Linked DNA regions of Sus scrofa. The protein of the gene in region 1 interacts with the protein of each later gene in a pairwise test. Links are inferred from orthologs where the notes say so. Each region holds a gene or a part of one and is shown in the gene's direction. Other genes may lie near its edges.

What was found.
Region 2: the proteins of VPS52 (region 1) and RAB4A interact in binary tests that used the Homo sapiens proteins (3 or more experiments, as listed by UniProt). The two-hybrid records come from large-scale screens. The link is inferred for Sus scrofa from reciprocal best matches to the Homo sapiens genes VPS52 and RAB4A.
Region 3: the proteins of VPS52 (region 1) and NFKBIB interact in binary tests that used the Homo sapiens proteins (3 or more experiments, as listed by UniProt). The two-hybrid records come from large-scale screens. The link is inferred for Sus scrofa from reciprocal best matches to the Homo sapiens genes VPS52 and NFKBIB.
Region 4: the proteins of VPS52 (region 1) and ATP6V1D interact in binary tests that used the Homo sapiens proteins (3 or more experiments, as listed by UniProt). The two-hybrid records come from large-scale screens. The link is inferred for Sus scrofa from reciprocal best matches to the Homo sapiens genes VPS52 and ATP6V1D.
Region 5: the proteins of VPS52 (region 1) and TSTD2 interact in binary tests that used the Homo sapiens proteins (3 or more experiments, as listed by UniProt). The two-hybrid records come from large-scale screens. The link is inferred for Sus scrofa from reciprocal best matches to the Homo sapiens genes VPS52 and TSTD2.
Region 6: the proteins of VPS52 (region 1) and EPM2AIP1 interact in binary tests that used the Homo sapiens proteins (3 or more experiments, as listed by UniProt). The two-hybrid records come from large-scale screens. The link is inferred for Sus scrofa from reciprocal best matches to the Homo sapiens genes VPS52 and EPM2AIP1.
Region 7: the proteins of VPS52 (region 1) and TEAD4 interact in binary tests that used the Homo sapiens proteins (3 or more experiments, as listed by UniProt). The two-hybrid records come from large-scale screens. The link is inferred for Sus scrofa from reciprocal best matches to the Homo sapiens genes VPS52 and TEAD4.

Annotation. Positions count from the first base shown.
Region 1 is NC_010449.5:29,636,147-29,640,766, reverse strand, and holds the start of VPS52 (vacuolar protein sorting-associated protein 52 homolog), read left to right. Parts: upstream 1-1,598; 5' UTR 1,599-1,886; coding exon of another isoform or gene 1,887-1,889; 5' UTR 1,890-2,321; coding exon 2,322-2,411; exon of another isoform or gene 2,412-2,470; intron 2,471-3,191; coding exon 3,192-3,276; intron 3,277-3,429; coding exon 3,430-3,482; intron 3,483-3,653; coding exon 3,654-3,729; intron 3,730-4,438; coding exon 4,439-4,506; exon of another isoform or gene 4,507-4,617; coding exon of another isoform or gene 4,618-4,620. Other genes in the region: RPS18 (40S ribosomal protein S18), read right to left, coding at 1,337-1,435, 1,887-1,889. UniProt on the Homo sapiens protein: Acts as a component of the GARP complex that is involved in retrograde transport from early and late endosomes to the trans-Golgi network (TGN).
Region 2 is NC_010456.5:60,500,840-60,504,789, reverse strand, and holds part of RAB4A (ras-related protein Rab-4A), read left to right. Parts: intron 1-406; coding exon 407-487; intron 488-3,385; coding exon 3,386-3,500; intron 3,501-3,950. UniProt on the Homo sapiens protein: The small GTPases Rab are key regulators of intracellular membrane trafficking, from the formation of transport vesicles to their fusion with membranes.
Region 3 is NC_010448.4:47,701,986-47,706,699, forward strand, and holds the start of NFKBIB (NF-kappa-B inhibitor beta), read left to right. Parts: upstream 1-1,658; 5' UTR 1,659-1,755; coding exon 1,756-1,934; intron 1,935-4,714. Other genes in the region: SIRT2 (NAD-dependent protein deacetylase sirtuin-2), read right to left, coding at 408-454, 1,300-1,315. UniProt on the Homo sapiens protein: Inhibits NF-kappa-B by complexing with and trapping it in the cytoplasm.
Region 4 is NC_010449.5:91,081,762-91,086,374, reverse strand, and holds the start of ATP6V1D (V-type proton ATPase subunit D), read left to right. Parts: upstream 1-1,466; 5' UTR 1,467-1,680; coding exon 1,681-1,721; intron 1,722-4,613. UniProt on the Homo sapiens protein: Subunit of the V1 complex of vacuolar(H+)-ATPase (V-ATPase), a multisubunit enzyme composed of a peripheral complex (V1) that hydrolyzes ATP and a membrane integral complex (V0) that translocates protons.
Region 5 is NC_010443.5:239,479,187-239,483,136, reverse strand, and holds part of TSTD2 (thiosulfate sulfurtransferase/rhodanese-like domain-containing protein 2), read left to right. Parts: intron 1-1,486; coding exon 1,487-1,607; intron 1,608-3,950.
Region 6 is NC_010455.5:21,876,460-21,880,996, forward strand, and holds the start of EPM2AIP1 (EPM2A-interacting protein 1), read left to right. Parts: upstream 1-1,403; 5' UTR 1,404-1,686; coding exon 1,687-3,513; 3' UTR 3,514-4,308; intron 4,309-4,537.
Region 7 is NC_010447.5:67,129,538-67,133,331, reverse strand, and holds the end of TEAD4 (transcriptional enhancer factor TEF-3), read left to right. Parts: intron 1-1,431; coding exon 1,432-1,572; intron 1,573-2,375; coding exon 2,376-2,528; intron 2,529-2,683; coding exon 2,684-2,797; 3' UTR 2,798-2,940; downstream 2,941-3,794. UniProt on the Homo sapiens protein: Transcription factor which plays a key role in the Hippo signaling pathway, a pathway involved in organ size control and tumor suppression by restricting proliferation and promoting apoptosis.

The DNA of each region.
Region 1 (4,620 bases):
TAAGCACCAGAAACTTTGGTTCAACTGTTTTCAGCAACTACAAAGGTTAGGCTGCATAATTAAAGTAAATACCAGTTAAGGAGGCAGAAAGGGTTTAACAGAAGCAGCCTATTAATGAATGATGCTAATCTTTTATTTTCACTTACTTAAGCCTCCTAACAACCCCTAAAAAGGGAACAGACAACCAACGTGTGGAGATACTCAGGGCTCAGTTCTACACCACTCGGAAAAGTGAATGTTGCAATAAAGGGAGCTACACAAAATCTGTTTGTTTTCCCAGTGCATGTAAGTTATGTAGGTTATTAAGTGAGCAATAGTCTTAACGTTAAAAAAACATACATACATGCCTTAATGAAAAGATACTTTATTAAAAAGTGCTAACCATCATCTGAGCCTTTGTGCAATAGTAACAAAAGTCAATGACAATGGATCGCTGTAACAAATATAACAATGAAAATGTCTGAAATATTGTGAGAATCACCAAAATGTGACAGAAGACACCAAGTGAACAAATGCTGTTGGAAAAATGATTTGCTCAAGACAGGGTTGCCACAAAAAAGAGGTTATCTGTAAAGTGCAATAAAATAAGCCTCTACTGTGCACCGCCTTACTAGTTTCACAATAGAAGGAAGCAGTCTCCTCATGCACCACTTAAGACCGAAAGTTGTGCACCCTGAATTACAGAATGAAAAGAATTCAAAGTAAACATGATGGCTCTTATAAAGCAAAGCTTGTGATTCACCATTTTAAATTAACAACCTATCTATAAAATACTTACTGTGGTGTCCTTTGGGGATTGTGAGCAAGAAAGGCTTAGCCCTGGCACCACATAACATAAACATACTGGTAAGGTCATTTTTTTATGTTAGTTAAGCCTGTGCTCACTGACCTTGTTATGAAATAGTGACCCCCCCCCCATTTCCTGGTTTCTTCATGCTTGGAATCTCTTGGCCTTTCTACTCTCCCTTCAGAGTGTACCATTATCCCATTTCCAGGACATACACATTTCACAAGAATTGCTCTTATGATGCACTAGGAGGAGCAAAAACCTATATAGCAGGGACCTTATAAGTTGACTGCTGATGGTCCAGGCCGGTTTAGTGAACAAATGCTGGCAGACAACCAAAGCCTTTCCCCAACCCCTAGGTGAAAACAACTTTGCTTCACCTAAGACGGTTCTTTGGCTTTTACCACTTACCTTTTGCGGCAAATGTGGCAAGGGCTTAGATGGACCCTGACCATTGTTTTTACCCAGCAGCCCAGGTGACACGGTTGAGACTTTCGCTTACACCTCAGGTGTTTACCCAAGTTTCCTTCACACCCCCAGCTCCTTTACCTTAATCGCAGTGATAGCAAAGGCAATTTTCCGCCGCCCATCGATGTTGGTGTTGAGTACTCGCAAAATGTGCTGGAACTTCTCAGGGATTACTAGAGACTGATAGAGATGGGGGGAGATGTCAGACTTCGCTAATTCCCGCCAAACCGTTAACCCCAAACACGAGCGTGAAGCTTGTCACGCAAGGTGCAAAGAGCCCCCGTCAGGTCTTCACGACACAACACGACTCCCTGGTCCTGCCGACAGCACAACAGGAAGCGTCCAGGATCGGAGAACGCCATCTCCGGAGGAGAACGCCTCCTGCCCGCTCCCAAGCGGCGGGACGGAGGGCCCACGCGCTCCCAAGCCTTCCCAGAGCCCGGGGAGCGCTCATCCTCGGGCCCCGCTGCCTAGAACTGGGTGCTTTGTCGTCCTTCTCCAGGAATGAGGCCCAAGGCTCCACACAAAACGCTGCGAGCCCCCAGGCCAGGACATTTTCGGCGCTCTGACAGCAAGCCTTCCCTGTCCCGGCTCCGATGTCGCCAGATACCCGAACGAACCCAACTCTTACCATGGCTGCAGCGCGGGCGGCGGCGTGTAGGCCTCCAGTGGAAGAGAGAGCGGAAGTGACGTGACATTCTTATATAGCTTCCAGGCGGAAGAGGCGGAGCGACCTTGGCGAAGCGCTTCCGGAAACTCCTTGTACCTGAGCCGGCTAGGCCTCTGAGTCAGAACTGCGCGCCACAACTTCCGGTGCCGTCTCTCTTTACAGATCGTAAAGTTTTTGCGCGTGAGAGCCACGAGAGTTCCGGGTTGAGATTCTCTTTTTAAGACTTTCAGTTTCCATTTGGACTTGGGCGAAGAGCTTAGAGAAAAGGGGAGAGCTAGAGGCAGTCTGTTTAACTCAAATATCTGGGAACGGTTTCGTGCATCACGCCCCAGAACTTGCAGTTCCACTCAGGGGAACGGACCTGCCCGACAGCTGCCGGAAGTGGGGCTGCGCGGAATGGCTGCCGCTGCTACCATGGCGGCAGCCGCCCGGGAGCTGGTGTTGCGGTCCGGGGCCTCAGATATGGAGGAGGAGGAGGGCCCACTGGTGAGGACGCAGGGCTGTTTCTCCTCCAGAGTCTCGTCCGGTCTTCTCACGTCAGAAAGGTCTGGGCTGGGTTTCGCGCAAGGTTGGGAGCTCGGCTGCTACCGGTGATGCTGCCTGGTCTGGCTCTCCATACCCCTCCCCGGATCGGACCTGGACCAAAGTGGGGACTAGAATGGCTGATACTTAGGTTCTGGGGCCACAGTTTCAGTTAAACTCCAGATATTTGCGCAGGATAGAGAAGCGGTGTAGAGTAAATGCTAGGAACATGGCCAGACTGCCTCGGTTCTAATTCCAGCTCAGCCACTTATGCTGTGTGTGTTTGGGCAAGTTAACTAGCCTCTCTGTGTCATCACTCTTAACACTTATAAAGTGAAAAAATAAGACTTACTGTAGAGGTTGTCGGTTAGGATTAGGTGAATGTAGGATGACACCTGGCACGATGGTGAACACTGTGTTAACTGACATTTCTAGAAAGGCTGGAGCTCCCCACGGGGATTGTAACAGAACATCTAAGATAGAAGGAGTCTGGAGACCCTAAGTTCAACTGCAAGTTCTGCTCTGTCCCTGCATCTCCTAATTTTCCTCATTTGGTCACCTCTGTGGGTTTGCTGGCTCCTTGTCATATTCCCTACCCATCAGCCCCAATGAGTAGATTGGGACAATATGAGATTTTGGAATTTTTTGGACTCAGCATTTCTCTCTGGTTTCCCAGTGAAAGTCCTCTCTCCCCATTATATTTTGTTCTCCCCCTCCCTTTCCCATTAACCTGCCCCTCTCCAGGGGGGTGGTCCAGGTCTCCAGGAGCCACTGCAACTTGGAGAGTTGGACCTCACCTCTGATGAATTCATCCTGGATGAAGTTGATGGTAAGTGATGGCACGAGGTGGCCGCAGTGCCTGTCATCTTAAGAGGCATGGGGGCTGGAGGTAATAAGGCAGGAATTGGTGTGCAGATGTTCGGATGTGGGTAGCGGGCGCTGTGGAGCCCTTTGGACCCTTATGATAAACTTCTCTTTCCAGTTCACATTCAGGCAAATCTGGAGGATGAGTTAGTAAAGGAAGCTCTTAAAACGGTGAGGTTTTCTGCTCTCCTAATCTGCCCCTCCACTCACCCTCCCCTCAAAGAAGAAAACAGTCTCTTCGTGTAATATCTTAATGTCTTCTCCCCAAATCCTTTGTTGACTTTGTTGCAGTGTCCCTTCTCTGACTGCCCCCCCCAACCCATCGTGTTTATGCTCTTCCAGGGTGTGGATCTCCGTCACTATTCAAAGCAGGTTGAACTGGAGCTACAGCAGATTGAGCAGAAATCCATTCGTGATTGTATCCTCTGGCAGAGGGAAGGGTGGTGTTACTAAAACGGGCGTTTGGGAGTTCCCATTGTGGCTCAGTGGGTTAAGGACCTAACATAGTGTCCTTGAAGATTCGGGTTCACTCCCTGGCCTCGTTTAGTGGGTTAAGGATCCAGTGTTGGAGTTCCCGTTGTGGCGCAGTGGTTAACGAATCTGACTAGGAACCATGAGGTTGCGGGTTTGGTCCCTGCCCTTGCTCAGTGGGTTAACGATCCAGCGTTGCCATGGGCTGTGGTGTAGGTTGCAGATGCGGCTTGGATCCCGCATTGCTGTGGCTCTGGCGTAGGCCAGCGGCTACAGCTCCGATTAGACCCCTAACCTGGGAACCTCCATATGCTGCGGAAGCGGCCCAAAGAAGTAGCAAAAAGACCAAAAAAAAAAAAAAAAAAAAAAAGGATCCAGTGTTGCTGTGAGCTGTGGCCTAGGTCGAAAATGCAATTTGGATCTGGTGTTTCTGTGGCTGTGGCCGGCAGCTGTAGCTCCGACTCTACCCCTAGCCTGGGAACTTCCATATGCTGTGGGTGCGGCCCTAAAAAAGAAGAAAAAAAAAAGGAGTATTTTGTGGGGCATGGTGCTGACAGCCCCGCCACAGCTGCCCTCCATCAGCTAAGAGAGAAGGAGAGGTCCTGCTGGTCCAAGGAGCTCTATCTGCACAGTAAGGCCTTGACTTTTGTGGTCAGATATCCAAGAAAGTGAGAACATAGCATCTCTGCACAATCAGATCACAGCCTGCGATGCTGTCCTTGAGGTTAATAACCCTGACCTGGGACCCCTGATAACCCTGAACCCAGGTCATGGTCTCTGGTACCATTCTCTAGGTCATTAGCCTCAGGTGGGGACCATTTGAGTTGCCATCAGGATG
Region 2 (3,950 bases), on another chromosome or scaffold:
CTTACACTTGCTCTTAACGGACTTCTCAAAGCTTCAACTAAACCAGGTCCATTCTTTTGAATAGAAAACACAATTTCTAGACAAGTTTTGCTTGTCACTGCGTATGCATATTTATTTGAAAAGCAAAGAGACAGACTTTAGACATCACCAGAGTAGTTTTCAAACTTTTAGTATCAAAAGAAATTGTCCCCTTAGCAGTTTGAAAAGGCACTGGCTCAGCATGGAAACCAAATGCTGAAAAGGTAAAAAGGTAAGTCCGTGTGTTTATTGCCTTTTTCACAAAATCTTGTTACCTCTTTTTTTCTGTTATATTAACAACCAAGATTTCATTAAATGTTACAGTTGTAGACTACGTTCACAGCACCTGTTTTAAAGTTCTTTTTCATGGTCTCTTTTTGTTTTTCAGATTTTTTGTTTAAATTCTTGGTTATTGGAAATGCAGGAACTGGCAAGTCTTGCTTGCTTCATCAGTTTATTGAGAAAAAATGTAAGTGATGTCACATGGTGTTCTCAATTTCTTCTGAGAGTGCTTCTGCTCAAATTTGTTGACAGCAAAACTTCCAAATAAGTTTTCAGGAAAAAAAGTTTGTGGCTTAAAAATATTTTTAAATGACGTTAAAAGTTCATGCTATTAAACTTCTAGTAATGTGGTTTTTATTTAGCATTTTAGTTTTATAGTAGTTCATTGTTCATTATGTAGTGAATTGTCCTGTACATTTTCTAGATACTAAGATACAATATGATGATGTGGAAAACAGCAGAGGAATTCCATTTCCTGACAGGAGGTGGCCCAAGAACCCTAGTTGCACATTTTGGATAAATAACATTTGGTCCTCAGTGGCCTTGTACTGTCATTAAGGCAGTATTGTCATCAGTTCAGTTTTACAGGTAAAGAAACAGAGGTTTAGAGGAGTTAGTGTGCATGCTCTAGAGTGGTCACCTAGTAATTGCTTAGAAATAAACCTGGGCCTTTGAGCACAGAAAATATCTCTTGTCCTTGACCTACATGTTTTGGTAAGGGAGGTTGAATTCTGTATTCCAGGCTACTGTAAAAGATGGTATGATTGTAAGGCCCTCAAAATAATGCTTTATACTGATGGAAAGAATTGTGGAGAATGGCCTGTTTGGTAGCGGTAGGGGTAGGCAGGTGAGAGCCTGAAAACAGAATTAATTTAATTTAATGAAGTGCATAAGATACAGTAAGTAGTGGGTAAAATGGGGAAAGAGGCAGCACAGAGTGTCTTGGGAAAGAGCTTTGAAGAACCGTAGTCTAGAAATGTATCCTTCTGCCTCCACATTCATCAACCCAGAGCTCAAACCCCTGTGTGGGACAGGAACCCAGTGTGGCTTGTCAGGGAGCCAGGCCTTATGAATTTAACCAGCATCCATTTACTGGGCGGTCAAGCTTCTTTACAAGTTACCAGGCTTTGCACTGTTCTGTCTCAGAAAAGACTGCTCAGGAACATCAGGTCAGGGGCCCAGCCTCTGTGGAGAAGGCTCCCCCCCGCCGCCCCCCCCAGATCCTCCCTAACTCCACAGGACCACAGTCAGGAGGAAATAGGTTTCACTTTATTTCTGTTGTAGCCATGTCTTAATCAGGATGTCCTTGGCCTTTAGGGTCACCCTCTGAAGGCTTGCCCAGGAGCTGAATCCTAGCCAGGTATCCACACTCAGTCTGCACTGTCTGGGCTGAGACAGCTGCCAGTGCCAGTACTAATAACCTTTCACCCTCTCATCCCCAGGAAGCAGTAAACACTGCTGTTAAGAAGCATCTCTGATTTCTGGTACAATTAAATTTTATCCTATGGTTATAAAATATAAACCAGTCAATGAACTGTAGAGCCATGAAATGTATTTTTAACTTATCCTTCCAACATCTCAGAAATTTTCTTTTATAGCTAGCTTATTCCAGTTGGGTGGAGCAGACTACTTATTTTGCCTGCCTCCCTGCCCATTCACAAAGTATTGATTTCTCCAACAAATTTCATTCCAAATTATCACCCTACAATACTAAAATTCATGACAACTCAACAGCTATAATATGATAGAGTTTTTGGTTTGGAGTTTGTTTTGGATTTTTTTTTTTTCTTTTCCTTTTTAGGACCGCACCCGAGGCATAGGGAAGTTCCAGGTCACAGGTCTCATCAGAGCTGTAGCTTCTGGCCTACACCACAGCCACAGCATTGCCAGATCCGAGCCACATCTGCAACCTACACCACAGCTCACGGCAACGCGAGATCCTTAACCCACTGAACAAGGCCAGGGATTGAACCTGCAACCTCATGGTTCCTAGGCGGATTCATTTCTGCTGCGCCACAACGGGAACTCCAGATTTTTTTTTAACTCTATTTTTTCCCCGATTTTCCTTCACCTTTTGTGTCCATCAAGCTTCTTTCTTGGGCTACAGTGCTTTTCCCTCCCTTTGCTTTTATTTGTTTAGAATATTTATCCAGGAGTTCCCGTCGTGGCGCAGTGGTTGGCGAATTCGACTAGGAACCATGAGGTTGTGGGTTCGGTCCCTGCCCTTGCTCAGTGGGTTAACGATCTGGCGTTGCCGTGAGCTGTGGTGTGGGTTGCAGACGCGGCTCGGATCCCGCGTTGCTGTGGCTCTGGCGTGGCCGGTGGCTGCAGCTCCGGTTCGACCCCTGGCCTGGGGGCCTCCATGTGCCGTGGAGCGGCCCAAGAAATAGCAACAACCAAAAGACAAAAGAAAAAAAAAAATAGAATATTTATCCAAATAGTTGAAACTATCATTGGCAAAGTTGTAGAACTGTCACCAGGTGGTAAGCCCTTCAAGATGGCACCCTGTATTTTATTCATTTACCACTTATGAGAACCTTAGCAGTGTCCGGTAGGTACCATCTCATGGTGTGGTTCCCCTTCAAGCCTCAGTTTTAAAACATAATGGTCGTGGAGTTCTCATCGTGGCTCAGTAGAAACCAATCTGACTAGTATCTATGAGGACGCGGTTTGATTCCTGGCCTCATTCAGTGGGTTGAGGATCCAGCATCGCCATGAGCTGTGGTGTAGGTCTCAGACTCCGCTGGGATCTGGCATTGCTGTGACTGGCGTAGGCCAGCAGCTGCGGCTCTGTTTCAACCCCTAGCCTGGGAACCTCCATATGCTGCAGGTGTGGCCCTAAAAAGACCAAAAAAAATGGATTGTTTAGAGGTTTTGAGAAAAAGTTGTATTGTGTCTTTGAGAATAGGAACTGTGTGTGTTCGTTTAAAACAATGAGTGCTTATTATCATCTGACTGTTGGAAAATGAATGATAAAGAAAATTGCATTTTCCATTGACTTAATTATTGATTTTAATGTTACTTCTCTAAATCTATAAACCTGTTTCCTTAACATTCTAAACTTAAATTTCTTTTTCTTTTTCAGTCAAAGATGACTCAAATCATACAATAGGAGTGGAATTTGGTTCAAAGATAATAAATGTTGGTGGTAAATATGTAAAGTTACAGATATGGGACACAGCAGGCCAAGAACGATTCAGGTAGCTTTTTCTCTAACATAATAAAAATATTTGAAAATTGGATTTGAAATAACTATATTCTTAATACATAATTGTTCCCTCCTCCCCCACACAGATTTCAGAAACCTCACCTCTGGAAGCTTTAAGACAAGCTAAAAGTCAGGTTTTTCTCCATGCAGCAGTAATTTACAAAAGAATTAGAAACTCTTCTGAGTAAATGCATCCTAATTTAGAAGCTGACTTACTCTCTGGGACCAGTGAGTTCCTTAGGAGAGTGTGGCATTGTGTATTCCACAATCAAGACAAAGTAGGAGCACAAATAATTTTTCTCTTAAATCACTTTAGAAGGAGAATGTGTTTTTTTGTTTGCTTTGTTTTGTTTTGTTTTTGTCTTTTGCCTTTTCTAGGGCCGTTTCCCATGGCATATGGAGGTTCCCAGGCTAGGGGTTGAATCGGAGCTGTAGCCACTGG
Region 3 (4,714 bases), on another chromosome or scaffold:
GCCTGTGGGATTCCTCCAGGGAAAGGACTGGCTGGAATCTGTGGGACTCCACGAAGTTTACTCTGGGCTCCCAAGGTGCCCTGAGCTGCTTTCCTTGTCACCCTACACTTGGCTCTGAGATCTCTTCCATGCGCAGTGCAAAAGAGGTTCAGAAGGGATGGGGTGGGGGGTGGCAAGGAGAGAGGAAGGTTTGGAAGGGCAGGCCGGGGGCTGAGGCTGCACGCCCTCCTCTGACAGTCCCCAGAATCCACCATTCCCCGGGAGGCTGAACCAGGAGGTGGGGGGAGGGACTGGGGCAGGGAGCTCAGGGCCCTGGGGTTCCCATCTCCCCTCTGCCACCTCCCTCCCAGGATGGGGTGTGGGAAGTCCATCTCTCTCCTTCCCGCCACCCTTCCGCCCCATCTCACCTGAGCCTCTTGCACCTTCCCTGTCTGGGTCTCCACAGGGTCTGAGGCTGGGGGGAGGAGGGGGAGCAGACGTGGTTAAGGTGAAGGGAGTGGTTAAGGGGGAAGGAAGGGCTTCAAATTAGTGGGGCAGAGGGATCAAGAAAACTCACCAACCTGGTCATACCGGGTGGGGTGGGGGTGTAAAATGGAAGTGGAGGAGGGCGGCAATGGGGAAAAGCGGACCTTATCAGTGTGCAGACGGCTGGGAGGAGAGGTTAGCGAGGGACAAAGAGGCCGGGACAGGAAGGTTTAGGCGAGGGAAGAGAAAGTAAAGCACGCCCGGCATGGAGGAAGACTTAGGAGGAGTTAGGAAGGGTGTAGTAGTGTGAGAGTGTGTGTCATTAGGTTTACAAGCAGTGGGAAGCCATAGAAAGGAGAGAAGACATACTCTGCCTGTTGGCAGGTTTGGGAGAAGAGGTGCAGAGTGTGTGTGTGTGTGTGGTGTGTGTGTGTGTGTGTGTCGGGCAGGGTGGGGTTGGTTTCGGAGAAAAAGGAAGCAATAGGAGGGGACCCTGGCATCCTACAGTTGCTACTAACAACCAGGTACCCTTAGCAACCAGGACCGCGGCATCTTAAGTCCCTAGCAACGAGGGTCCTTGGCAACTAAGGTGCGAGAAACATGTGATCATTAGTAACTTGGGGGAAGTGGCAAACGGACCCTTAAAACCTAGCGACCCAGAAAGCCACCAATCTAGCAATATGGATCACTTGGCAACTGCCCCCGGAATCCCATTTTCCCCCCCATGCAACCCCCATCTCCTGCCCCACCAAGCCTGCCCTCGGGCCCCGGGGCCTACGACCCTCAGCTAGGCCCCGGTGCAGCCCTGCCCTCCCACCGGGGTCCCCGACTCACGATCCGGCTCGGCCATGGGCGCGGGGCGGGGGCCCTCGGGACTGTCACCGACTGCTCTGTCCCGTGACGGCACCGGAAACAGGAGGGGGCCGAGACAAGGCAGAGAACTACAACTCCCAGCAGCCATCGCGATCGCATATAATGCTCTGCACCGCGTACGGAGCGCGCCCCCACGCAAAGGCCGGACTACGAGTCCCAGAGGGCTCCACGTCCACAGCCATGCTGGTAAAGGACTCCGGGAAAGTGTGGGAAAAGGTAGAACGCCGTAGTCCACCTGAGTGCTCTGATTGGTCATCATGTGGCATGGGGGCGGGGCGTGTACTACTTAGCCCACCCTGATTGGATGAGTCAGGGGGGCGTGTTGGGGAATTCCCCGCAGGGCGGAAGCTCGAGAATTCCAGGCAGAGCCCAGCGACAGGCGGGCTGCCGCTGGGGGCCCCTGAGGCTTCGGGGGCCATGGCTGGGGTTGCGTGCTTGGGGAAAGCTGCGGACACCGATGAATGGTGCGACAGCGGCTTGGGCTCTCTGGGTCCGGACGCAGCGGCCCCCGGAGGACCAGGCCTAGGCGCGGAGCTGGGTCCGGGACTATCGTGGGCGCCCCTCGTCTTCGGCTACGTCACTGAGGATGGCGACACGTGAGTGAACCTTAGACTGACAAATCGGGCCCCAGGGTCCCACATCTCCAATCCTGACTTCCCAACCTTTCAATCCTAAATCTGTCTTTTGATGCTTGACTTCCTGACCCCAAGACTGGCCTCTGATAAAACCAACTTCTTATCTAATTTTGATCCTAACCCAATAATGTCTGGCCTTCCTTTCTTGAACTGATTCTCAGAGTTATGCGTTCATTGATCAGACCCACATTCAGTGATCGATTCCACATCCAAAACTCGATTTGACCTTCCTGACCCCAGTCCTTAGCCCTCTGTTAGAACTGTAGTTCAGACAGGCTCCTCCTGACCTTTATCCTCCAAATATGATCTTTGGTCCTCAGCGCCTAACTTACATGAGCCTTAGATTTTATTTCGAAATTAATACTTGGCTTTTGACTCCAGGATCCCACCTTCTGAACTCTGATCTTCAAAGCTTACATTCAAAGAGAAAATGGAAACTACATAACAGCAGGAATTCATCTATTAAACAAATAATCCAACACCTTCGACTTTCCAGGAACTGTTTTAGGTGTGGCCTAAAGGCAGGGAGGAAAGCCCAAAAAACATTTGTCTTGTGGAGCATACATTCTAGTGGGGGTATATAGACAGAAGGGCAGATAGACTGACAGGGAGGGAGGAAGGGTAGGAGGAAGAAAAAGGAAAGAAAAGGAGAGAGAAGGAAAGAGAAAAAAAGATACACAGACCTAAAGTAAGAAAGGGAGAGAAAGAAGAAAGGCAGGAAGAAACGAAGACAAAAATTAAAAAAAAAAAGAAAAATAGCATGTCAGACGTTAAGAAGTTCTTTGGAGAAAAATAAAGCAGGGAAGTGAGACAAGTAGATTATCTGGGGAGAACATTGCACATAGAGGGAAAAACAGTTGTAAAGGCCCAATTGAGGGAATGTACCTGGGGTTTTTGAGTATCGTGTTTACCGCTGTATCCCCAGTGACCCAGCAGCCCCTGACCCATAGGAGGCACTCAGGAAACAGTGATCTTCTCAAACAACCAGCTGTGGTTTCATTTATTTTCTCTTTTTCTCTCTTTTTGCTTTCTATTTTGTTGATCTCTGTTCTGACTTATTTACTTTCTTCTCTTATTTGGGGTTTAATTTCTTCTTTTTCTCGTTTTTTAAGATGGAAGCTGAGGTCATTGATTTGAGACTCTTTTTTTTTTTTTTTTTTACGCATATAAGTGATTCATGCTGTAAATTTCCCGGAGTAGTGCTTTAGCAGTATCTCACCAATTCTGATGTGCTGTGTCGTTTTTTGTCATTTTGTTTTGTTTTGCTTTTAAGGCCTACCTGCGACATACGGAAGTTCCCAGGCTGGGGTCAAATCGAAGATGCAGCTGCCGGCCTACACCGCAGCCACCGCAATGTGGGATCTGAGCCCTATGTGCGACTTAGACCACAGCTTATGGCAGTGCCAGATCTTTAACCCAGTGATCCGGGCCAGGGATTGACCACATCCTCATGGATACTGGTTGTGTTCGTTAACCACTGAGTCACAACAGGAATTCCATGATGTGTAGTGTTTTTATTTAATGCAATATACTTTCTAATTTCTTTTTTGATTTCTTCTTTGGTCATCGGATTCTTCAGAAGTATGTTATTCAGTTTCCATATCACAGGCATCTTTCTTTCATTGGCTTTTAGTTTAATTCTGTTGGGGATGGAGAGCCTAGCATGACTTGAATCCTTTCAGACTTTTTGAGACTTGTTTTAGGGCCAAGAATATAATGTGTGCATTTGAAAGAATGTGTATTCTGCTCTGGTTGGGTGTAGTGTTCTCCGAGTGTCAGTGTTTCCCTGGTTCTTTTGTTGCTCAAGTCTAGATTTCTACTTGTTCTGTCAATTATTGAGAGCCGGGTATTGAAATCTTCAACAATAATTGTGGATTCGTGGCTTTCCTTGTTGTGCTATCAGATTTTGCTTTGTGTAATTTGATGCTCTATTATTAGGGGCACAAATATTTAGGATTATTAAGTCCTCTTGTTTCACTGACCTCTTTGTCGTTATGAAATAACCTTCTCTAGCCCTGGTAATGCTTCTTGCTCTGAAATCTACTCTGATATTAAAATACTTACTTCTGTTTTCTTTTGAATGACTGGTGTTACCATGGAATATCTTTTTATACCCTTTAATTTTAACCTATTTTAAAATTTATATTTCAAGAGTGTTACAGGCAGCATATAGTGGGTTTTGCTTTTTTTTTTTTTTTTTTGGCTGTGCCTGTGGAAGTTCCCGAGCCAGCAACTCAACTCGAGCCACAGCAGTGTGGCACAATGACAGTGCTGGATCCTGAATCTGCTGCACCACAAGAGAACTCGAGGTTTACTTTTTTATTCATTCTGACAGTTTCTGTCTTTTAATTGCAGTGTTTAGACTGTTTGCATTTAACTTAATTATTGAAATGGTTATGTTTATCTTGTTTTTAGCTTTTTTGCTTATCTCTTTTACCTTTTTCCTCTTTTTCTGCCTTTTAGAATGAGCAAATTTTGTTCCATTGTGTTTCTTTTGTTGGCTTATTAGCTCTAACTCTTTGTTTTTTATTTTCGTGGTTGCTCTGAAAGACCAATAGTTGGCAAACTGGTTTCCAGACAAAGTCCAGCCAGCTACCTGCTTTTGCATGGCTGTGAGCTAAGAATAGTTTTTACATTTTCAAATGGTTAGAAAAAAATCAAAAGAAGAAAAGCATTTCGTGGCAAGTGAAAATTATATGAAATTCAAATTTCAGACTCCATAAAGTAAGCTGTTGGAATCC
Region 4 (4,613 bases), about 61 Mb from region 1:
TTTTGAGGATCAGTGACTTGTTATTTGGCATCAGATGAACTGAGAACAGACAGTAAAGCTCTACATAATTCCAAACTGCTGAAAGACACAGAGTTACAAGATTTTTTCCCTTGAATAATAACATCAAACGGGAGAAAAACCAAGACTTCTTGCTAAACCTTTCCTCCACGAAACAATGTTTCTTGTTAAATAAAACTTAAAGTAGTCTAAGTTTGGGGGGGTAATAAAATTCCCTTATCTTTATGTTTTTTTAGTTATGCTTAACCGAAAGATCACAGCGTGTAATTCTACAAGTTTACTTTCATCGATGCTGAAACACGGTAAACCGATACTAAGAGTTATATATAAACTCTTCAACAGTATCTTTTAGTTTCAACTGAAGGGGTGACTCAGTCTACAGAAATGCACCGAGCGATAAAGTGATAGGAGCTTCAATTTTTAAATATAAGTTATCAGAGGAACAAATTATTCTTGGATACTTTTAAACCCAACTCTGTCAACATCATGGCCCAAACCACCGGTTCCTTGAAGCGGCCGGTCTGGTTTCCACTGAGAGGTAGTATTTGCTGGGGCGGACGAAAAAGATGGAATTCTCAGGCCCGGAGAGAGCAAAATGCTCAGCGTCGTGGGGCGGGGGTGTCATAGCGTTCTCCCGAGACGGCCCCACCTCAAGGCACCCCTGTTTTATGTATATTGAAGACGCTGTACAATCACTGGGCCCACTTCCCTTCACGAGATTCCTTCGTTCGTACCTTGACACCACCGCTCGGAGAGACCGACACCCGGCCGGTGGCGACCGCAGTCGCGTCCAGGCACTTCCCGCTCAGGGACGGGAAAAGGAGGTGTTAACCCAGGGCCTACCCTCTACCGAACACCCATGCCATTGGACACAACCAAAGTAAATTCTTCGAGAAACTGATCGGGGAGACTAGTCACCTGAGGTATGTATATGGATCCCGCACTGGGGCCCCGCGCCGCGCTCTTCAATCAGAGAGAACTGACTTGATCCACCCGCAGCAGCCGCCGACTCTCTTCAGCGTGCGCTTCTCTCAACCCTACCGCGCATGCGGAACCACCTCGCAGCACGCAAGCGCCGACAGACTACAGACCGCTCTTCATCACCTACCATAGAGTCTAGGTCCTCCGCGAACAAAGAGGTCTGTGGGCCTTAGGAGGACTTGAAAAGTACATTTTCTCGCCATCTTTAGTTTTCGCTAAGTGACTTTCAAGGCGCAGATAAGAAGTAAGACTCGGATTCCTTGTCCCTAAAGAATAAATTCTCTACGATACTGTCAGTCAACCATGAGGTGGCGCTGTGACCAGAGGTGAATGTGGAGGAGGAGAAGGGGTGTACTCTTCTCTCTCGGTCTTTCGTCTCTTGGGTGTAGAGCCTTGCGCAGCCGCCTGGGAGCTGGAGGGGGAGGGGCTCGGCAGCGTACCGGAATCGAGGGGCGGTTCCGGGGTGCGCGCGCCTCAACATCCGGGCATCGCCTTCTTCCTGTCCCGGCCTTCCTGCACTCCTGTGCCAAGAGAAAGCGGAAGTGAAGAAGAGACACTCCGGCTGCCTCTTAGCAACGCGAAGGGCGTCACGTGACACAACCAGCTGACTCCGGTAGAGAAGGACTCTGTGGCTGCAGCACTTGCCTGGCCTGGGACCGGAGCCGCACGGTCGCCGTCAGAATGTCGGGCAAAGACCGAATTGAAATCTTTCCCTCGCGAATGTAAGTAAAAGAATGGAACGAACACACTTACGGGTTCAGGAACACCGGCCCGGAGCCGCTGTCCGTTCACACCCTGGACCAGCAGCGAGGCACCTTGTTTCCTTGGCCGACTCTGAGCTCTCCTCAGACACTTCGTGAGTCCAGGGCGAAGCTCTTTGGCGGGCCCGCACACATTCCTCTGTTTGAACCGGACTGGGCAGAACGAGCCCAGCCGGTGGAACAGGCGCCCGGCCTGCTGGATTTTATGAAGGCTCATTGACTTTACTCATTAATTGAGCTTTTCACCCCACATTCCTTTATTGAGCCGGGCACTATCCTTACGTACCTATGAGTTTTCGTCACTTGTGCCTTAAGAGAGCTAAAGACAGACAAGCCGAGGAGGTTTGCCGATAATGCTTTGAAAAAGGAAGTTTACTACGATGGGAAGCAGGCTTCTAAGCCAAATTGGGGGTTGAATCCAATCACCGTAACGTGGACGTTAGGTTCGATAGTGGATCCCCTTGCTCCTTTTCCCTTGAAATGTTTGTCGCCTGAGGTGGGAAGCTATCCCAGAATTTCTAAGGCACTCCTTTTGCTCTGTCACCATTGCATCTCATTCAGGCCTGTGTTAATATCACCCATCACGTTGTAAAGTGGATATTGTTTTATGTGTATTTACCACTGAACTACAAGCCCTCTCCAGGATGAGATCTCTTTTATTAATCCATAGAAAGTCCATTAAAAAAATGGTGCCTGAATGAACCCATATTTTGGAATTTGGTCAGTCGTGGGCTTCATTGCCTGAATTCTTTGGCTGGAGAAATAGCATAGCACTCTAGGTGTTTGGCCAGTCTGTAAAGAAAATTTTGAAATTTTCTTAAATGTGCCTAAGAACATGTGGAAAGTAATAATTGTTCTTATTTGTCGTCTTCTCCCCTTTCTCCTCCCCTTCTTCTTCTTTTTTTTTTTTTTTTTTTCTTTCTCTAAGGAGCAGAAAGTCAGTTTTGGTTCTGAGAGATGTTTTGACTGTGGTCCTCTCTTTGGGGGACCTTTTGTTTTTCTTCATTCTGAATTTTTTCTCAGAGAATCTGAGGACTCTTAAATAAGAGTTGTTTTTAAACCCTAAACCTAGTTTTCTGTCTCTGCCTGGGTGGCTACAGCTTTTAATAAAATGAAGGGGGTTTTGTTTGGTTTTTACCTTTACCTGACTTTTCAATAGCTGTTTGTCCTAGATGGACGCAATTCAGTTATGGAGAAAGGTAATGCCTGTGAAATAGTTAATGATCAGGACTACCCTGGGGTTACTGAGGATGGCAGAACGCTCAGCAGTTAAGGACTGATTCAGTCCAAACCTCTGCACGGAGAGACCACCAAACTATTGTGGCTTCTAGCAGCCTAAGCTCTGTTCCCAGGATGACTCTGGCTCCCAGTATAATGCCTGCCTGAGAAAACTCATTGCAGCCACAGCCAGGAGAATTTGCTCTTTGTTTTGTCCCACACCTGAGGATATGCCCTTGAGCGCCCTCCCTTAATTACCTGCTAGCAGACACAGTTGGCCTGATCATCACTTCTGTTTGCCTCCACTCTCAGTCATTTTAAAATGCTTAATCACCTGTGCACAAATTGGAATGGAGCTCAGCTCTTTCCCCTCCTGTCAGTGGTTACTGAAAACATGTGTTTTTACCACTTTAATGACTGGCTGTTTTTAATCTTTGATAGTTATCAGAATGTTAACTTTTTTGTTTGTTTTGGAGATTAAGAGGCAAATACACTTCTTTGGGCTTAGACAAGAAAAATAATAAGTTTGTGAAGGTGAAAATTGCTCTTTGAGAGGATTCAGCTTCCCGATTGAGAGGAAGATCAGGTGGAGGAAATAAATGCTTCTCTGTAAATATTTTCCCCAAGGCATATCAGCAAGTATTTTGTCATGTAGTCAGATGTCTTTGATTCAGCTGGAAACAAAGTCATCATCCTAGCTGAAGGTCAAACATTTTTTGTAAAGCCAAGCAGCTCTGGAGCTTGTAACAGAACAGGTTTTTTTAAGAGCTAGGGTAGAAAACACACTAGGAACATCTGTTTGAGACACTTCCACCTTATGGTGTTATCCTTTGAAATGAGGTTGAAATGAGGCTGTTGTCTAGTTAGGCACCAGAGAGAGCAAAACAAGTTTAGAGTGGAAGCAAAAGAGGCATGAAGGTAGTGAAGTCAACAGAGGTCAGTCATATTCAGGTTCTAGTACATACTGGCTATAAGCCCTTGGGCAAGTCACCCTTGAGGCTCAAAAATTAAAATTTGTTTATTTCACAGAGATGCCACTGCTTAGGAGTAAATTTAAATTGGCATGTTAAACTCAGTTTTAATCAACCAATTCACCTTTTTACTATAAACTTACTGCAGTCTGCAGTACTTGGATTTGACTTAAATTTTTTTTTGTCCTGAACTGAAAAATCTTTATTTATCCCTCATAGTGTAAATATTCTTAAGTTTTACTGCAGAAATGTTAATATGTTTGATTATAGGGTGTAACCAGGCCCCTCAGGGTTATTATTATAGAACATAGTAAATGCATTATACTTTTCTAAAATCAAGCAAAGTCAGAATTCTTTTTTTTTTTTTTTGGCTTAAATTTGATTCAGCTCTTTGAGCCCAAATTCTAATAGTGTCAACAACATAGTATGTTAAGTGTACACATTCGGGTGCAAACCTCCTGCTCAGGCTGGAACCAGCCTCACTCAGTTACATCTCCAGTGAGGCTAATCAGTGCACATTCAACCACTGATAGTATTTCAAAGAGAACTGTTCAACTGAAATGATTTATAATCAAGAAATGAAACAGTATGGCACATGGTTGGGGTACATTGGACCTAGTTTTGAGCCTTAGTTTGAGCCTTGGTTAAGTCACTGGAGTAGAAG
Region 5 (3,950 bases), on another chromosome or scaffold:
AACTCACCAAGTCATAGTATTACATAATTCTAGAGGACGGATTTCTGATTTTAAGCAATTCCTGAACTATTTGGTGAATAGAAAATGCCCAGATTTGATACTCTTGTCACTAGTGTTAATGCCAGTTCCCTTTGTTTATCAGAAAGAAGAGAAGGTTAGAAAGAGAATTGAACTTGGAGTCAGACCTGAGCTAATCACTAAAATTCTTTGTACCTTTACATCCTCGCCTCTAAAACTGGAATAATAATGCCTGCTCTGCCTACCTGACAGAATTGCTTTATGAATTATACAAAATGATAAGAGCCCTCGTGAACTGGAAAGTGCTATAAACGTGATCTCTTCATTCATTTCTGTATGGCCCTGCCTTTTAGTTAGAAAAACAAAAAAAAAGGATACATGAAACATTTAGCAGATGGTTAAAGACCGTATAATTATCGTTTAAAATTGTATGGCTCAGATAGTAGTTCATTACAAGAATTTAGAGAAAGGAAAATAGAAGGCCCTAAAATAGACAGGCAGGTTTCAGAGGAGACTAGGCCCTGAAGCATGAAGAGGGCAACGATGAGGGAGGCACAGACTCCAGAGTGGGACAGGACCTTAATTACCATCTGTCATATCATTCTCTCAAATAGGTCTGCAGAGCATGTGCTCTGAAGGATGCTATCAGGTGTTGGAGAGAGGTACTGAAGACAATTAAATTTGGGAAGCACTAGGTTAAAATGTTCTTACTGCAGGACTGCCTGGCGCTTTTACTGGCTGAGGGGCTTTCACTGCCACTCTCAAAGAGGGAGACACTGTCCACAGGATTTCTCAGTCATGTGATTTCACAGGACAGCTTCAGAGCACACAAATGCAGTTTATTTCAGTCTTCCAGTTTTACAGATGAGGAACTCAGGACTCAGAGATAAGACCCCCACCCAGCTTCCATGACTAGTTAAAGTCAGCACAGAGCAGTAGAGAGAGCAGTTCTTCTAGTGTCAGCAGACTGGTGTTTCGAGTCCTGACTGTCACTTTGTAACTGTCTCGCCTGGGATGAACTGGGCTCAGTTTACTCAGCTCTAAAATGGGGAGGATGATAACCTGTCTCATGGGTAAGAGGATTACATGACCAAAATGGAAGAGAAACTTATTTTTGGAAGAAGTAAAACTTTTTTGTGTATAGAGAGATTCAGACAGAATGAAGTCAAATTTCCAGCTGTCTTGTGAAAGAGCATTATTAGTACCTCTCTCATGACATGACAATTAAATGAGGAAACCAAAGTAAATTCACTTCTCATAAAGGAAGAAGTTCAATGCAGATATTGCCTTCTTTAGAGCAGATACCCATAGACATTGCTTCTCATTTTAGGACAAGAATGAGAGAAACAAAGGCAAGCATGAGTTGCTCCATTAGGCCTTCCTTCCGATTCTGCCTGTGTGCGCTCTGTGAATTGTGGTTTCCTGTGCCAGTGACTCAAGTGCTCTTTCCCTGTGGTTTTCTTTGTAGTGGCCAGGACAGCGATGACGGGGAGGTGCTGCTTTATTACTGCTACTGTGACCTGGAGGATCCTGCCTGGATCTGTGCCTGGCAGACAGCTCTGTGTCAGCATCTGCACCTCACTGGCAAGGTAACACCTCCCACACCCCGTCCTTCATTGGCTCATCCTGCCTCCAATTTGGATTACAGAGGTTGGGCTTGTTACAAAAAAGATTGATTGTTGGGGTCTTGAAATTAGCGCAATCCTGCTAGGCATTTAAGTCTAATACTAATTAGCGATTAACATGGTGTTGTATAAGACTACTTAATGGCATAGACCAGAAATCAGCAAACTTTTTCCTTTTTTTAAAAATTTTTTATTTTTATTTTTATTTATTTTTTTTTTGTCTTTTTAGGGCTGCTCCCACAGCATATGGAGGTTCCCAGGCTAGGAATCAAATTGGAGCTGTAGCCGATGGCCTACACCATAGCCACAGAAATGCGGGGTCCAAGCCACAGCTGCAACCTACACACCACAGCTCACGGCAACGCTGGGTCCTTAACCCACTGAACAAGACCCCATGTCCTCATGGATATTAGTCGGGTTTGTTAACCACTGAGCCACGAAGGGAACTCCCAGAAAACTTTTTCTTAAAGACCCATATAATAAATACTTCAGGCTTCGCATAAAAACTACTCAACCTTGGCATCATGACAGGAAGACAACCATAGACAATATATAATAGAATGGGTATGACCATGTTCCAGTCAAACTGTATAAAAAAGGCATAATTTGCCAACCCCTTGCATGGGGAAATGTTCTTGATATATTGACTGGAAAAACATTTTATAGAACTATACATACAGATGTGATTTCAAGTTGCTTCTCAATTTTCCTAGAACATGGCAGATGTTATCATTTTGTGTTTTTTGACATTTGTTCTTTTTTTTTTCCCTCGTGAATATTTTTTTCCTAGTCTTTCCATGGCTGTCCAGTGCATTTAGAGTAAAACCCAGATCCTTAACGTTCCCTTAGGTTCCCGTGTGATTTGGCCCCTTTACCTTTTCCGCTTATCTGCTACCACTCTTTACTCATTACACTCCAGCAAAACATTCCTTCAATTTCTTGGGAGTCCACAAAGGTTTTTTTGTGCCTTTGGGCCTTTTTACAAGAAAATTTTCTTCAGTTAACTCCCCCACACCCACTTGATTCTTCCTAACTTTTACTCAATCTTCAGGTCTCAATTTTTTTTTTTTTTGTCTTTTTGCCTTTTCTAGAGCCGCTTCCTGCGGCATATGCAGGTTCCCAGGCTGGGGTCGAATTGGAGCTGTAGTCACCGGCCCACGCCAGAGCCACAGCAATGTGGGATCCAAAGCCGCGTCTGCAGCCTACACCACAGCTCACAGCAACACTGGATCCTTAACCCACTGAGCAAGGCCAGGGATCAAACCCGCAACCTCATGGTTCCTAGTTGGACTCGTTAACCACTGCGCCACGACGGGAACTCCTTCAGTTCTCAGTTTTAATGACACTTCTTCAAAGACATCTTTCCTGACCCGTAATCTAAATTCACTTTTCCAAATATACCCTTCCACTGCAGTTTAGTTATTTTTCATGTAACACTTGTCGGTTTGTGACTTTAATCTTATCTGTGACCTTCCTTAGTCTATAATCTCCAAAAGGGCAGAAGATATCCCCAATTCATAGCATGGTTCCTGGTGCATTATAAAAAAGATGAGTAAACACTTGTGGCATATATGCATTTATTATCATCTCTATTTAGAGAACACCTTAAAAGATGTATATTCTCGCAGTAGACTTAAGTTTACAAAATAGGAAATCAATCTCTTTCCTTGGTTTGGGGCAGGTTTTATTCCTGGCCCAGCCCAGGAGGTAAACTGGCAGTGAGGGCCTCTGCCACAAGGTGGCAGCACCTGCCTGGATCTTAGGTCTAAATTCTAAGCCTTTGGCAATACATGGCAAATTTTCAAGTTTTGTGTTGATGGGAGATTTGGCAGAACATCTGCATTTAGGTAGGGAAAGAGGAGAACTTCAAAACTCTGAAATTATGGAGATAAGCTTCTGATCCCTTTGCTATACATTTCTTACTGCCTCAAGAAATTTGAGAGGCCGCATTAGAAGTTTTGGAAAGGAAAAATTGCAAGATTTGGACCCAATAAGATCTGGTTTTGAATCCCAGATCTACCACCTGCGAACAATGTGCCCTTGGGCAAGGTACTTGATTTCTCTTAGCTTCTGTTTCCTTTTCTGTCAAATGGGAGTTATGATAGCTACTTTTCAGGGTTATAATATGAAGCTGCTGTCTCATATTAGGTGTTCAGTACCCTAACTATTGCACTTCATCTGAGGTAAAGGCCTTCCTCACCTAGCAGCTTAGAAGGTTTCAGTTGAAGAATCATTCAACAGAAATCGAAAGTCTAGTGCATGAATAACTGCTCTAACCCAGCTGTTTAGGGAGTGGGTGTACTTGTC
Region 6 (4,537 bases), on another chromosome or scaffold:
CCATTGTGGCGCAGTGGAAATAAATCCAACTAGGAACCATGAGGTTGCAGGTTCGATCCCTGCCCTTGCTCAGTGGGTTAACGATCCCGGTATTGCCGTGAGCTATGTTGTAAGTCGAAGACGCCCCTCGGATCCTGCGTTGCTGTGGCTCTGGCACGTAGGCCGGCAGCTACAGCTCCCATTAGACCCCTAGCCTGGGAATCTCCATATGCCCTGGGAGCGGCCCAAGAAATGGCAAAAATAAAATAAAATAAATAAAATAAAATAAATAAAATAAAAAAATAAAATTAAATAAAATAAAATAAATAAATAAAATAAAGTAAAATAAAATAAAATAAAATAAAAAATAAAATAAAATAAATAAAGTAAAAAAAATAAAATAAAATAAATAAAATTAAAAAATAAAATAAAATAAAATAAAATTCAGGAGTTCCCATCGTGGCTCAGGGGTTGACGAAACCGACTAGGAGCCATGAGGTTGCGGGTTCCATCCCTGGCCTTGCTCAGTGGGTTAAGGATCTGGTGTTGTTGTGAGCAGACGCGTCTGCTACCTACCTGTGGTGTAGGTAGCAGACGCGGCTCAGATCCCGCGTTGCTGTGGCTCTGGCGTAGGCCGGCAGCTACAGCTCCGATTGGACCCCAAGCCTGGGAACCTCCATATGCCGCGGGAGCGGCCCGAGAAGAAAAAAAAAATTAAAAAGGAATTGTACTTCTGAATGTATACAGAATAAGCAAGAAACTGACGCCCTCTGAAGGATGAAGAGAGGGGTGTTTTTTCTTCTTAAATGTAAAAAGCTTTTTAAACGTTTAAAAAGTTGCATCTTCTGCACATATAATTTTAGAATTTCTCTTAGTTGATGGCACCATTAAAACAATACTGTATCGCCCTCTCTTTGTGCCCCCATCAACCCTAAAGTCTCGAAGGGACGCTCGAGGACCCGGGAGAGAGGAAGGCAGGACCCCGGCCTCCCCGCGGCGGCGGCGCGCGGCACACCCCTCCACTCAGGGCAGAGAGGCGTGTCCGCGCCATCCTGAGCAGTGGCCCGTTAGGTTCTAAGGAAGCCTGGACTCCTCCCTTCGTACCAGTTCTCAATCATCTCCTTAATGGCATTAGCCGGCCGCTGGATAACCTCCCCTGCCGCGATGCGGTTCACCACTGTCTCGTCCAACCGCCGGATAACTCCCGGTACCTGCGACATTTTGGCGCCAGAGCAGGCCGTGTAACGGTGAGACGCTCACTGGAAGGGCTTTCAGCCAATCTCCTTAGAGCTTCGCACCCACATCCTTCCAGCAACACTGCTGACGCCGTCCCGTCCCGCCCTCTAGCGGCAACACCACTTCCGGGACAGAGAGGTACTGATTGGGCATCTTGAATGCCAGTCAAGTTCTTAGCTCCATGATTCCTGTTCTCTTAGCCCTCCTTAGGCGGCTTTAGTGCACTTTGCAGCGAGAAGGATATGCGCCTGCGCGCTAAAAATCAGTGTCCGCTCTTCCTATTGGCTCATGCTTGCGGCAGGGGAATACGAAATCTCCAGCCAATAGGAATCAAGGTGCCGGAACCCCAGTGGTTTCCCCAGCTGGGGTGATCTGGCGCAGAGCGGAGTTGGCGCTTGGGGATCGCTCCTGCTCCTCCCCTCTCCTTGCGGCCTCCGGGAGGTCGGCCCAGATCCAGTGGTCTCCCGTGAGATGTGGATGACGCCCAAGAGGAGCAAAATGGAAATCGAGGAGCCTCGGGGTTTCCAGGCCGAGTGGACTCAGCGTTACCTGGTTGTGGAGCCTCCGGAAGGCGAAGGCGCCCTGTGCCTGGTCTGTCGCCGCCTGGTCGTAGCCAATGGCGAACCCGATGTCAGGCACCACTACGAGGCGGAGCACGATTACTACGAGCGGTATGTGGCGGAGGGCGAGCGCGCGGCCCTGGTGGAGCGTCTGCGTCAGGGCGACTTGCCCGATGCCGCCCCGCTCACCCCGGAGGAGAGAGCTGCTCGTGCAGGCCTCGGGCTCACCCGCCTCTTGGCCTTGAAGGGTCGCGGCTGGGGTGAGGGGGACTTCGTGTACCGGTGCATGGAGGTGATGCTCAGAGATGTGCTGCCTGATCACGTAGGCGTTATGGATGGCATTGATTTATCTCCGGAGATCACGCAGCAGAGGGTCCTAGACATTAACCAGAATCTACGCAGTCAGCTTTTTAACCGAGCCAAGGACTTTAAGGCCTATTCCCTTGCGTTGGACGACCAGGCTTTTGTGGCCTATGAGAACTACCTCCTCGTCTTTGTCCGCGGCGTGGGCCACGATTTAGAGGTGCAGGAAGAGCTTCTGACCATCATCAACCTGACTCAGCACTTCAGTGTTGGTGCCCTCATGGCGGCAATCCTTGAGGCCCTGCAAACTGCAGGGCTTAGCCTGCAGCGGATGGTTGGACTGACCACGACCCACACTCTGAGGATGATTGGTGAGAACTCAGGGCTGGTGTCATACATGAGAGAAAAGGCTGTAAGCCCCAACTGTTGGAATGTTATCCATTATTCGGGGTTTCTTCACTTGGAACTGTTGAGCTCCTACGATGTGGATGTTAATCAGATCATAAATGCCATATCTGAATGGATAGTTTTGATTAAGACCAGAGGCGTTAGGCGGCCAGAATTTCAGGCTTTACTAACTGAATCGGAATCAGAGCATGGTGAAAGGGTTAATGGACGCTGTCTGAACAATTGGCTTAGAAGAGGGAAGACCTTAAAACTAATATTTTCTTTAAGAAAAGAGATAAAAACATTTTTGGTTTCAATAGGGGCAACAACGGTCCATTTCACAGACAAGCAGTGGCTTTGTGACTTTGGCTTTTTGGTGGATATTATGGACCACCTTCGAGAACTCAGCGAACTATTGAGAGTAAGTAAAGTCTTTGCTGCTGCTGCCTTTGACCATATTTGTACCTTTGAAGTTAAGCTGAATTTACTTCAGAGACATATCGAGGAAAAAAATCTAACACACTTTGCCGCCTTGAGAGAAGTTGTTGATGAGCTTAAAGAGCATCTTCAAGAAGATGAAAAAATACTTGATCCTGAAAGGTATCAAGTAGTGATCTGTCGCCTACAAAAAGAATTTGAGAGACATTTCAAGGACCTCAAGTTCATTAAAAAGGACTTAGAGCTTTTTGCAAATCCATTTAGCTTTAAAGCTGAATATGCACCTATTTCAGTAAGGGTGGAGCTAACAAAACTTCAGGCAAATACTAATCTTTGGAACGAATACAGAACCAAAGACTTGGGGCAATTCTATGCCGGACTGTCTGCTGAATCTTACCCAATTATCAAAGGGGTTGCCTGTAAGGTAGCATCCTTGTTTGATAGTAGCAAGATTTGTGAAAAGGCTTTTTCATATTTGACTCGAAACCAGCACACCTTGAGCCACCCATTGACAGACGAACACCTCCACGCCCTGTTTCGGATTGCCACCACTGAAATAGAGCCTCAATGGGATGATCTTGTGAGAGGAAGAAATGAATCGAATCCATAAGCTTTTGTAGTACAACACCGAAACACTCAACAAGAATCCAACTCTAAAAGCAAAAATATGTTTGATTTTCAACTTTACTAATTTGGATTGTGGGAGAGTACCATGTTTTTTCACCCAAAGTGAAAAAACTTTCATCGCAGACATTTTTCACAATTCAAATGCTTCAGACAATTTTTTTTTCCTCTTTTCAAGAGGCAGCATGAGACTGAAACATGCAGATACCTTTTTTCAAAACTTGGTGGCAGAGTCATTATCTTTTGCTTTTATGATATAATTGTTTTTTAAAAAGTTCAGTATTAATCATGTGAGTTGAATTAGGAGTCTGTTTTTAAGACGTTTCAAAGAAACTTTAGCTCTTATTTTAACAAAGCGTTGAGATTCTGATGCGTATAGTCTGAAATTATCAACTCCTTAAATGTATGTTTGAGCCAGTTTGCAGAAACTCACATTAACAAGTGCAGAAGTTTCTGAAAAGGAAGAACGTACATACAGAGGAGGTATTTTGTCTAACTATCAAAATGTTTGAGACTATTTTTTTAGACACATTTCTGAGTCTGAAGTAAATACAGACATATTTTCTCCCTCTCACTCCCCCACCTGCCCTAGTGATAATGATATTACTCATAGAGGAAATAATCAATTAAAATTTTAGTCAGAGGAGCAAGAATTATTTTTAAATTGTTGGTTCAGGAAACTTCCTGAAGTTTGGAGATCAGACTAACCATTTATTGGAGGTTTTCCCTGATTTTTCACAATTGGGTGCTGTTTTATGAGCTTGCCTACTAAAGGACTACGGTAAGTATAAACTTAGGGGTTGCCCATTAGTAATTCTTTTTTCTACTCTAGACAGACTTTTGCCCCATCAGAAAGGATGAGGAAAAAAAGATGTTTGCATTCCAGTATTAGGAGGTGTGAGATATTTTAGCTTATTTGGCCTATCTACATTGGTGTTTCAGCTTTATAAGGAAATAAGAAATCTTGCTTAAAGGAAACCCTGTATTTTAAAGTTATAGAATATCAAATT
Region 7 (3,794 bases), on another chromosome or scaffold:
TCGGTCCCTGCCCTTGCTCAGTGGGTTAATGATCTGGCGTTGCCGTGAGCTGTGGTGTAGGCTGCAGACGCGGCTCGGATCCTGCGTTGCTCTGGCTCTGGCGTAGGCCGGTGGCTACAGCTTCGATTGGACCCCTAGCCTGGGAATCTCCACATGCTGCAGGAGCGGCCCAAGAAATAGCAAAAAAAAAGACAAAAAAAAAAAAAAAAAAGAAAGAAAGTGTTCTTGCTCTTGGAAACCTTTTCTCCCCAAAGGAGAGAAAAGTAATGGCTTTGACGTTCCCTAATGGACAGGGATGGAACAGTCCGGGGCCCGGCTCTGCATCTGCTGGAAACTTCCCCGGGTTCTGGGGTTCCCCTTTTGCAAGAGAGGTCTCCGTGTCAGAGTCTTTATCAAAGTCTGGCAGCCCCCCTGCATTTGTGGGGCTGCCCTCTGGGTCCTGCTTGGCAGCGACTTCCCACTAGTGTGTGTGTGGGAGGGAGGCTCTGCCTAAGAAGGAACTTCTGGTAATCTTTTGGCACATTTCTGAGTCTGAAGTTCCTCTCTTAGCTCCCTGACTCAAATGGGTTCTGGGGGTGAGGACCCTTCTGTGGTTGAAGCCTTCAGAAATAAAATTCCTGGAGTTCCCGTCGTGGTGCAGTGGTTGACGAATCTGACTAGGAGCCATGAGGTTGCAGGTTCGATCCCTGGCCTCGCTCAGTGGGTTAAGTATCCGGCGTTGCTGTGAGCTGTGGTGTAGATCACAGACGCGGCTTTGGTCTGGCATTGCTGTGGCAGCTGTAGCTCCGATTTAGACCCCTAGCCTGGGAACCTCCATATGCCGCAGGTACGGCCCTTAAAAGAAAAAAAAAGAAAATAAATGAAATTCCTGCCTCAACATCACCAAGGCACCCAACTGTCTTGCCAGGCTGGGAAGGTGGGTGCCCCTGTGGCAAAGGGGCTCTGTGAGCAGGTGCTAACCAGACCTCTCGGACTAGTGAGAGGAAGAGCCAAACAGAAGGAGGCTGGCGTTGGGGAGATTGGCCTGGAGGTGGAACAGAGGTGCAGAAGGTCAGGGGTGGCCGGACTCACAGTGCACAGAGAGAGCAAGAGGCCAGCCCCCAAAGCCATTGCTTAAAGGGCACTGGCAGGGTCCTGAAGACCAGTTTGGGGCCCCGCCTACTGGGCTGTTGGTACCTGGCAGGCAGCAGGGGCCGGAGGCTAATGCAGGGGAGCCCTTTGCCTTTGTTTGGGCCACAGGACCTGACTTCATACCAGTCCTGCTGCGGACAGAATGGAGGCTTTCACACACCCTTCGGCCAGGTTCTTTCCAAGCCTCCTGAGTGAGTCCTGGCCCTGGGACCTGGGCTGTGGCCCCAGAGGCCTCCTTGACGCTGCCCCGAGCAGGGCCCCTCTGAATCCCCTTCTTGCTTTCCCCTTGTCTCCCTCCAGGCAGACCTCAACACCAACATTGAGGACGAGGGCAGCTCCTTCTACGGCGTCTCCAGCCAGTACGAGAGCCCCGAGAACATGATCATCACCTGCTCCACCAAGGTCTGCTCCTTCGGCAAGCAGGTGGTGGAGAAAGTGGAGGTAGGGCCACGCCGCCCACACCCCTGCAGCCTGGGCTTCGGCCGCTGCTCACCTCTTTCCCCACACTGAGTTCATGAAGTCTTACCTTCACCCCTCAGCTTGCGATAACCCCCCTCGCATCAACCCATGGGAGGCTGGGCACCCCCATCCCAGTGGGGAGCCTTCCCAACACACCTGCGCCGAGCCCCGCCCACAGCGCGGAACCTTAGGGTGGAGTCTGGGCAGCAGCGACTCTGAAAAGCCCTTCACGTTGTTCTAATGACATTTTTATTTCGAGATAATTGTGGATCTACAGGCAATTGTCATCCCTTCCCTAGTTCCCCAGTGGCAGCATCCTACATACCTAGAGTGTAACAAGAACCGCCTGGCAGGAGACAGTGATGCAATCCACCAGCCTGATTCAGATTTCCTCCATTTACACACACTCACTGGTGTGCACATGTTTGTGTGTGTGTGTGTGTGTGTGTGCGCGCGCGCGCGCATCCCCAGGCATGCATGCCAATGGATAGGTACACATATGTGACGGTTCTGTGGGCGCAAGGGTCCCTGTGGCCCTGTCCCCATGTGCAACCAGAGTTGGGGCATCATTCTGTCCCGTCTGGCCATTCGCCCCTCTGTGTCTTTAAGCTCCTTCTTCTAACACCCAGCTGCTGGGTCACTGGGGGGAGGGCTCTCTGTTCTCAAGGGCCTCCTGAGAGGCCTCTCCTTCTACTACGAGTGGGTTATGGAGCTTCCTCTTGGAGCTGGGTCTGGCTGGAGGTGGGCAGAGACCTCCTAAGCTGCGCTGTCCCTGGGTCCTGCAGACCGAGTACGCGCGCTATGAGAACGGCCATTACTCCTACCGCATCCACCGGTCCCCGCTGTGTGAGTACATGGTCAACTTCATCCACAAGCTGAAGCACCTGCCCGAGAAGTACATGATGAACAGCGTGCTGGAGAACTTCACCATCCTGCAGGTGTGTGTGTGTGTGTGCGCACGCGTGCAAGTGTATGTGTGGGCAGGCGGGGGCGGGGCGCAGATGTGTCGAGTGGGGCAGAAGTGAGCAGTGGGCAGAGCAGAGGGCATGCCGTCTCCTGGGGCCCAGACCCCCTCCTCTCCTCACCCCTGCAGGTGGTCACCAACAGAGACACACAGGAGACCCTGCTGTGCGTCGCGTATGTCTTCGAGGTGTCAGCCAGCGAGCATGGGGCTCAGCATCATATCTACCGGCTGGTGAAGGAATAAGAGACCAGGGAGCAGGGAGGGGGGACGAGACATCGTGTGTGCCGGGACGTGGGGAGGGGACCTATGGGGGCAGCCCCCCCCCCGAAGTGCCAAGAGAGTTGAAGTCACGACTCTTCTACCCAGGAACAAACCGTGCCTGAACCTGCAGTGCCTAATCCCAAATAAACCCAAGATCTGTGTATTTTCAGAGGAACTGATCTGGCTGTGTGAGCCTTGGGAGGGACCGAGGGAGAAGGGGGCTTCCTGGGGAGCAGGCTGGAAGCAGCCCCAGGGGTGCCTCTCGTGCAGTTCTGAAGCCGAGGCCCCAGCGGACTCAGCCAGGAGTGTCACCAGATGCTGAAGTTCAAGATCCGATGGTCCCTGTGGTGCATGGGCATCTCTGCCCTCTGCTGCAGCCATGCTGCGAGGCCTGAGGAGGGTGTGGGTCCTCCCTCCTATGTGGGCACTGCAGCCACCTAGGAGTGATGTGTCTGCTCTCCCCCGCTCCCCGCCACCCTCCCACCTCCTGCCACCTCTGCTGCCTCTGCACCAGAGCAGCTAACAGGGAAGCCTGGGCCAGCCCTGGGGTGGGTTTCAGGTGTGAGGGAGATTGAGTTGTTGGGAGGTTGGAAGGGGACACAGGGTCCTTGAAGTACTTTTCGTCCGTGGCCATGCTTGCTGTCAGGGGGATGGGTCCCGGGTCAGAGGAGCCCGAGACAGCAAGGGTGGGGGTCCAGTGCTGAAGCCAGCTTTCTGAAGTTGGGATTGCTTGGCATCCTCTTTGGTGGTAAAGACCGAGAAAGTTGGTCAGAGGTCTGTGGTGGACCCTTGGTCTCTGAGACCACTCAGTTTGGATGTTCAGGGAGTCTTAGCACAAACCCCCTCCCAGACAAGACGCCTGCGAGATGGTGACTGCCTTGGAGCTGGCCCAGGCCGTCCATAGGTTCTGTGTCCCCTGGGGATGGAGGAGGAGGGGAGGAGACCCGCTGAAGGGCTTCTTTGGTCTGTTTCTGCTGGG